2 linked regions of the Sus scrofa genome follow. The protein of the gene in region 1 interacts with the protein of each later gene in a pairwise test. Links are inferred from orthologs where the notes say so. Each region holds a gene or a part of one and is shown in the gene's direction. Other genes may lie near its edges.

Region 1 (4,600 bases):
AAGTATCACTAGCTAGTATAAATAATTATAGTAGAATGAGCTGTGAAAGCACTGAAAGTGAAGCAAATATGTGTTCCTGGGAAAGCGTGGGAAGGCAATAAAGAGGCTGCTCTTTAATGAGATTAGACCAATAACAACAGAGGCAAAGAGAAAAATCTTTGAACATCAGAAGTAGGATATTGCTTCCTCTTATAATTCAAGATGATTTGCTCAGAATTGGAGGTTATACGCTGTCCTTCCCTGCACTTATTTCAATGCGTATGTTTAGATTTTGTTTTATTATTGAATGGTGCTAGACTACAAATTCTTTGAGGACAGAACCATATCCGTTTGTTGTTACTACTGTATGCATTCCAGCGATGTCACTTAGGAGATGCCAGACAAATATATGTTCAAAGAGAAAATAAAATGGGTGGGAGAGTTCTCAGAAGAGTAACTGGTCATTTTTGATCCAACACTGTCAAGTAAGAGAGCCACAGAATACGTGAAAAGCATTCCTCTCACCAGAGGGAACTGCTCTAAAGCTTGTCAAGGGATAATTCATTGAACTTTTCTGTGGACAGAATTAACCATTTTCTTCCTTTCCTCTTTCTCCCTTGGATGAATCATCCATTTGCCCTGATTTCAACCTTTTGGTTACTGATTCAGTCTCTTTGATTACCTGACACACTAATAACATCTTCTGGTAACTTGAAAGGTCAGTTGAAGGAGTTTTGGGGTTTTTTTTGTTTGTTTGTTTGTTTTTTGTCTTTTTTGTCTTTTTGCCATTTCTTGGGCCGCTCCCGCGGCATATGGAGGTTCCCAGGCTAGGGGTCCAATCGGAGCTGTAGCTGCCAGCCTATACCAGAGCCACAGCAACGCGGGATCCGAGCTGCGTCTGCAACCTACACCGCAGCTCACGGCAACACCAGATCGTTAACCCACTGAGCAAGGGCAGGGATCGAACCCACAACCTCATGGTTCCTAGTCGGATTCGTTAACCACTGCACCACGACGGGATCTCCGAAGGAGTTTTTTAATGATTATGCTACCCTGCTCCCTCTTGTCCGTCTGTTGCACACAATACAGTTTGTGGGAGACAAATTTTTCACTTAAGGCATCCAAATCACTTTGCTAAAAACCAACTCTATACTAATGAAAACTCCAGTCTAAAGCAGCAGATGAGAGAAAGCTTACACTGTACATAAAAAGAAACTGGAGTTTAGGAGCTTCGGGATTATCTCTCGGAAAAGAGAAATCTTTTATATGACATTCCTGATATGCCCTCCAAGCTATTCGCCCTCGCGGCTGTTTTACCCAGGTCTCTCTGCCTGAAGCATACTCAGGTGTGCAAATCTAAGAGAGGCCAAAAGTCACCCGCCGCCCCGCCCCTTGCGTCCCAGCGGAGTCAGCAAACACTGAGGTTGTTTCCCGCAGCTCACGGGGTAGAGAATCTTAGGGAACGTAGACACCATCTTGGTTGTGGTTAAATGCAGGGTACAAGCTGGCGTCACTCTTCCTTCGTGCGCAGGCGTGTTAGGGATACGCTCCACCCCCCCTTCCTGTGCACGCGCTCGGAGCCCGCAACTCTCGCGAGAGAAGCGAGATTTATTCCTACGTACCGGGCCGTGCTGCTTATGGCGGCGCTGGAGAGGGGGCGCTGAGCTGTTGGGGTAAGTACGACCTCAGGGTCTAATTGGGGGCAGCAAGGACCCGGGCTAAAGGCAGATGTGAAGACCGAGACGAACGGGAGAGACTTCAGAGTTAGATTGGGCACTCCTAGAGCTCCGGGTAGGAAAGAACTCAGCCTGAGTCCCTACCTCAGGCTTTTCCATTCCCTCCTAGTTCGGCTGTCTAGGCCTCACGTTAAGTTGCAGAGTCGAAGAGAAGAATCGAGGCCCGACGGCCGCGTGTGGTAGCAGTGGTGGTGACTAAAGTGGGGGGAGGGAGCGAAAATGGAGGCTCCGACCGCAGCCAAGATGGAGGCAGGGGTGCGGGGCTCGGGCGCGGAGGCTGCTGGGAGTTGTAGTCTGGCTTAGTCCTTCTCTGTGGTTTGATAGGGGAACGGGAACTACAAGTCCCGGCGGGCGGGGTGAGGGGGTGGTGGCGCGGTCCTTTGTGTGATGCTGGAAGAGCCGGAGGCTGAGGAGAGGGGCCTGCTCTGACTCTGGACCCCATAGTTTCTTGCCACCTTCTGGCTTGGGCATCTGACTACGAGTACCAGAGCGCATTGCGGTAGTGGCGCCTCCTTTGTGTACGGACTGAGACCTCACTCCACCTAAGTGCTTAGAGACACCCCCTTTCCTCGGCCACATCTGGCACTGTAGCGCGGCCAAATTGTCGTCCTTCTTTCCATTCACCTAGAGCTGTCTGTCTTGGGTCTCAACACCCACCTAAGCCTCCCTTAGGTTCTTAAGAAAAGGAACCAACCCCTTAGGCACATGGCTCTCACCCCCTGTCCTTGGGGTTGGGGCGAACTCTGTGAGAGGTCAATGGAGTTCTTACCACCTTCTCTTGTTCTTATGGTGCAGGAGCCTGGCCCACATTGTGCAAAGATCGGCTTGGCTTCATCATTCTAAGTAGAGTTAGTTTTTTCTAGAGCCCTGGTCAGAGACACTTTGGAGGTTTTTAACCCCCGATGTTTCATCAGTCCGAAATCTTAGTGCCACGGGTGTTTTTGCTTTAAGGTTTTCCTTTAGAAACATTCAGATGGCTCCTCTCTTGCTTGACTCTCAAGTGAGGCAGGGTATGCTCTCTAAAACAGATCTCAGACTGCAAATAAAAAATCTGAACATTGTGCGATTGATTTCCTTGTTTTGCACCTAAAAGAGCAGAATAATGTGGTCCTCTTTTTAAACAGTTGAGGGACAGCGTGGAGAGGGATGGAGAACGCCCAAAGGCACTGTGATAGTTAAATATTTAAATCTGAAGGACTTAGCTTTTTACCAGAATGGTTCGAACTGGCAGCTAGCTCTTGGCCAGAGCTTCAAATCAATAAAATGTAAGTACCAAATTATAGCCACTAATATAAGTTATTCCATATCAAAACGCTGAGTAATTTTCATTTTTAGTTTGAAGCATTTTCAATACTATATTGAGGGGAAATAAAATAATTTGGTGTCCTTTTAGTACTAATCAATATTGTGTATTTATTGTTGGTGTAGGTAAAGGGGTGGAGTCATAAAATCTTGATAAATTTTCAGCCATGTTTCTTCTTTTTTCCTTTTAGCCATAGGCCCGAAATAAAAGATGGTAGTGGTTTGAGTGATTTTGCAGCTGCTCTGGATGTTTACTCTTGAGATGAGTATTTATAGCAGCTGAGTTGAAAAGTAAAGTATTTGAGGCACAGAAGATAGGTTTTCTTTTTTTGTAAATAAGTTCTGACTTAATAAGTATGATCTTCAGAGTATAGTTAAATTCTGGTAAATTCCTAGCAAATCAAAAATGAGAATGTGAAAGCTAACATGTAGTCCTGCTTTATCCCATTCCTGTTTTCCCCTCCTTTCATCTAAAGACAGACATTGCAGGGCTGTACAACATTTAAAGAATTTTTTTTTTAGTTGTGGTAAGATATACATATATATAGCATTTTAACCACTTTAAAAAAAGTGTATGGTTCAGTAGCATTAAATTCATTCACATTATTGTGAGAACTATACCTTTGACAAGGAAGTTTAAACATGGAAATGCAATGTGGATAGATTTTTAAGGCGTTGAATATGAGGACTGTACTACAAAATGAAAATCTTGAGATCTTTTTAAATAAACACAGGGCATTGATTTTCTTAGTTTAGACTTTTCAGAAAACGAAGAGGAAACTGCTTTGATATCTTTGACCCAGACTGTCTTATAGAGAGCTGTAAAATTTGTACGATTTTTCATAATGATTAAACTAGAAGAACTATAACTGTTTTTTAAGACCAAATAGCTAGAATGTCTTCAGTGATGAAACTGCTGTGGTGGGAGTGGCTTGTTTTGATTCCCATCATTTATTGCTTTTAAATTCTTGTGCCAAATCAGGATTTCTTAAAATTCCTTTGTCTCGGTATTAAAATGTTTTCCACTTGCATGTGTGAACATCTAGTTAAAAAGAAAAATGAAAACTTTTTCAGTTCATACTACCAAGCCTGAGGAATTGTTAGATATTTCCATTGTGTGACATTTTCTGTTTGGGGTATTTTAAGTATAGTGTATTGAATGATTATTTTGTGAGCATTCTAATATGTTCTTTTATGCTGAGGTAAAACATTATAGTTGAAAATAAATTTTTCAGCAGTTTATTCACATTGAACCTGCTAGTTCCATTGGTTTTCAGTTACAGTCAGTATATAACCAGTCAGTTATTTGCACTTCTGCTTCTCAGATTTAATAAGTACAAACTTCTGCTATGGTCACATTTGCTAGGTACTGCCTCCTCCTATTAGTGAAAGTCTTCACCCAGGGACCTTATATTTACTTTTCTTTTGTTGGGCATGCTTATGCCTTTTTCCCCCTCATCATTTTACACCTGCTCTGATCAGTGTGGTAGTCACTAGCCATGTGTGGCCTTTGTGCATGTGAACTGTGTTCATTGTGCTGTGTTATAAAATAAGCGTTGGATTTCAAAGAATGTTTTTTGTTA
Region 2 (3,807 bases), on another chromosome or scaffold:
GTGCAGGATGTTTTTGCGCTCGTGCCGGCAGCGGAGATCCGGGCAGTGCGAGAGGAGTCACCCTCCAACCTGGCCACTCTGTGCTACAAGGTGAGGGGTGCCCGCCGCTCGCTGCCACACCCACCCTCCCAGAGAGGCCAGAGCTGGCCCAGCCCTGGGCTCGGGCACCCGGGATGTGCCCCACCCAGCTTGGGGTAGTCCTAAGACTTCCCCTGCTTCTCCCCCTGGCTGGGCTCTGGGGGCACATGATGGCAGCGCTCCCTGTGAGGGCTGTGTGAGGGTGGCACGTTCCATGGCTCATTTAACTCATGCTCCGGGGTTGGTACTGTCTGTGTTGCCATATCACAGGTGCGGAAAGTGAGGCCCAGATGGGCAGTTACTCAGCAAGGTCTCCGCTGTGCGGGGTGGGCTGGGTCTCATTCCCATGATGCTCTAGGTGCCACCCCACCCCGACCCCTGCCCCCAGCCCATGGCCGGTCCCCCTGGGCTGGCTGACCCTGTCTGGAGAGGCAGCCCTGCAGGGTGGCCCGGCTGCCTCTCCCCCTCTGAAGGCCGGAGTGCCCAGCCTGACCCCAAGCACCAGATCCCCACTCCCCACCCTGCCAGCCTCTCTGCCTGTCCCCACAGGCTGTGGAGAAGCTGGTGCAGGGAGCAGAGAGCGGCTGTCATTCGGAGAAGGAGAAGCAGATTGTCTTGAACTGCAGCCGGCTTCTCACCCGCGTGCTGCCCTGCATCTTTGAGGACCCCGACTGGAGGGGCTTCTTCTGGTCCACAGTGCCCGGGGCAGGCCGAGGAGGGGTCTGTGTGCCTGGTTGGGGGGCTGGATGGGAGCTGGAGTTGTGGTGTCAGGGGAAGAACCCCCTCAGGGCCAGCCATTCCTCCAATCCCCTTCTTCGGGGACAGTGTGAGGGGGTGGGCAGTGATTCCCAGCAGGGCTGAGGCTCCAGAGTTTCGGGGACTCGCCTGGCCCCTCGCACTCAGCAGAGCCCCGTGTGCTGTCGCTCTTCTGCCTGAGGAGGTTTGGGGTGAATGAGCATCTACTTCCTGCCCTTCTCCCACCTCTTCCTCCATCCCTCTGCCCATGGGGGCCTGCCTGGACCAAGACCCTGTCTCCTTCCCGCCTTCGAGTCCTGGGGCCACCTCTCCTTGGCCAGCTGTGACTGAGGGGGCCTATGGGTGCCATGTCCCAAGCAGGGCGAGGATGATGACGAGAACGCCCGGCCTCTGGCCGAGTCCCTGCTCCTGGCCATCGCCGACCTGCTCTTCTGCCCAGATTTCACCGTCCAGAGCCACCGGAGAAGCACTGTGGTGAGAGGCCCCCAGCCCCCCCCCAGCTGAGGCGGGCTCTGGTCCCCTGGGGCCGGTTGAAGGTCCCTTGGGGAGGGGCTGTTCCGGGAGGGCTGGGCTGCCTGGCACGCATGGTCCCAGGGAGGGGGTGGTGGCTGGCATAGCTGGAAGGGAGCCAGCTGTGTGGCGGGCCCTGCCCCCTGCATCCGGGAGGCTGGGCAAAACCACCCATTGTCTTCGCCTGGGCGGTGGGTGGGGGTGTGGGGCTTGGACACAGGAGGCCTGGGCCTTTCATTTCCTGCGGGTGCGTGGACTGGACCTGGAGTATTCTCTGCCCCCCACTGCCACCCACCACCAGGGGCACCTGATTCCACTGTGCTGCCTCCCTACCGCCCTCCCCAACCAAACTGAAGCAAAGTGAGCCTTCAAGAGGCTGAGAACATTCATTTCTTCCCTGTGCATGAGCACCCGCGGCACTCGGAGGGTCTGTCTCGAGAATAGGGGGATTTGTGCTCCCAAGGATAGTGGCGGGCTTGGGTGGTCCCCCCTCAGCCTGACCTCTCCCTGACCCCGTCCCCAGGACTCGGCGGAGGACATCCACTCCCTGGACAGCTGTGAATACATCTGGGAGGCTGGCGTGGGCTTTGCTCACTCCCCGCAGCCCAGCTACATCCACGACATGAACCGGTGAGCAGTTCTCAGGCCCGGAGCTCGTGATGTCGCTGGACCCCAGGCCTCCTGCCTCCCACCCCAGCTCAGGGAGCGGAGACCCTGCCCACCCGTGACCCAGCGTCAGCCCCGCAGGGATAAAATGGAGTCACTTTACGGACTGGAGCTGGGGCTGGGCGGGGAGGACATGCCCTCCTCCGGGAGGACTGAGATCCTCAGGCACTGAGCGCCCCTTCCCCCCCACCCCAAGGATGGAGCTGCTGAAACTGCTGCTGACCTGCTTCTCTGAGGCCATGTACCTGCCCCCAGCTGCAGACTGTGGCAACACCAACCCATGGGTGCAGTTTTTTTGTTCCACGGAGAACAGGTGAGGGGCCCCCTGGCTGTTCTTTCCATTCTCCCCGTCCTGGTTCCAGGCAGCTCGGAGCCCAGGCCGTTTACGAGCCGGGTGTCTTATTTGGTGGGAAATGCTGCCCTCTGGTGGTAGTGACCTATAACAGCAGCCGCACCTATGCCAGCGCTGTCCAATGTCCCATTGGGGAGCCCTGGGTGACTGCCTGCGACCTCCGTCTAGAGCCAGGCTGTCCAGTAGAAGTATAATGCAAACCACATATGCAATTTAAACATTTCTAGTAGCGACATTAAAAAAGTAAAAACGAGGCGTTCCAGTTGTGGCACAGCGGAAACGAATCTAACTGGGAACCATGAGGTTACAGGTTCAATCCCTGGTCTCTCTCAGTGGGTTAAGGATCCGGCGTTACTGTAAGCTGGGGTGTAGGTCGCAGACGCGGCTTGGATCTGGCGTTGCCGTGGCTGTGGTGTCGGCCGGCGGATCCAGCTGCGATTCGACCCCTAGCCTGGGAACCTCCGTATGCCATGGGTTTTTTAAAAGATTAAAAAAAAACAGTAAAAAAGAAACAAGTGAAATTAGTTTAAATAATGTGTTTCATTTAACCCGGTGTATCAGAAATATTAGCATTTAACATGTAATCAATATACAAAATTATTGAAGTGTTTTACATTCCCTCTTCATACTAAGCTCTCAAAATCTGCTGTGCAGTTTACGTTGACAACACATCTCACATTTTAAGCTCTTCATAGCTACACGTGGCTTGTACTGAGCAGTTTGTTTGTTTATTTATTTATTTGTCTTTTTAGGGACACACCCATGGCATATGGAGGTTCCCAGGCTAGGGGTCCAATCAGAGCTGTAGCTGCTGGCCGACACCACAGCTACAACAACGCCAGATCCGAGCCGCGTCTGCAACCTACACCACAGCTTACGACAATGCCGGATCCTTAACCCACTGAGCGAGGCCAGGGATCGAACCTGCAACCTCCTGGTTCCTAGTTGGATTTGTTTCCACTGTGCCATGACGGGAACTCCCAGCAGTACAGTTTTAACAGTGGGTCCAGGGGGTGTAATGAGTATCCTGAAGGCTGGGGGAACCCGGCCCACATGGGGGTGCCCCTGGGCTCTGGGGGGCATCTAAGTACATGGGGGAGTCACATAGTGTGATTGAGTATTTGGAGCAGGTACACCTGCTCCAGCTGTGCCCAGGGCCGGGCTGGCGGCACAGGGGTTAGTGCCCCTGAGGATCTGGTCTGCCTTCTTACTTCCAGACTCCGATTCCCACGCGGCCCACCTCAGCCTTCAGGTTTTGCTGGCCTCCTGGCCAGCCTTCCCCCTCCCAGCGCCCAGAAGTGGCAAGAACCCACGCGACGCCCTCCACCAGCTGCAGTCAAAAGCTGGGCTAGGTTTTCTTTGTCACCAGCCTCGGAGGGCAAACGGCCACCTTTGCCACTTCATTAACCTCCCTGGGTCTCAGTTTCCTCGTCTGTAAGATGAGA

Evidence for each region.
Region 2: the proteins of CSDE1 (region 1) and HID1 interact in binary tests that used the Homo sapiens proteins (3 or more experiments, as listed by UniProt). The two-hybrid records come from large-scale screens. The link is inferred for Sus scrofa from reciprocal best matches to the Homo sapiens genes CSDE1 and HID1.

Annotation. Positions count from the first base shown.
Region 1 is NC_010446.5:105,803,013-105,807,612, forward strand, and holds the start of CSDE1 (cold shock domain-containing protein E1), read left to right. Parts: upstream 1-1,499; 5' UTR 1,500-1,652; intron 1,653-2,094; exon of another isoform or gene 2,095-2,980; intron 2,981-4,600. UniProt on the Homo sapiens protein: RNA-binding protein involved in translationally coupled mRNA turnover.
Region 2 is NC_010454.4:6,297,572-6,301,378, forward strand, and holds part of HID1 (protein HID1), read left to right. Parts: coding exon 1-90; intron 91-627; coding exon 628-798; intron 799-1,194; coding exon 1,195-1,308; intron 1,309-1,867; coding exon 1,868-1,974; intron 1,975-2,206; coding exon 2,207-2,323; intron 2,324-3,807. UniProt on the Homo sapiens protein: May play an important role in the development of cancers in a broad range of tissues.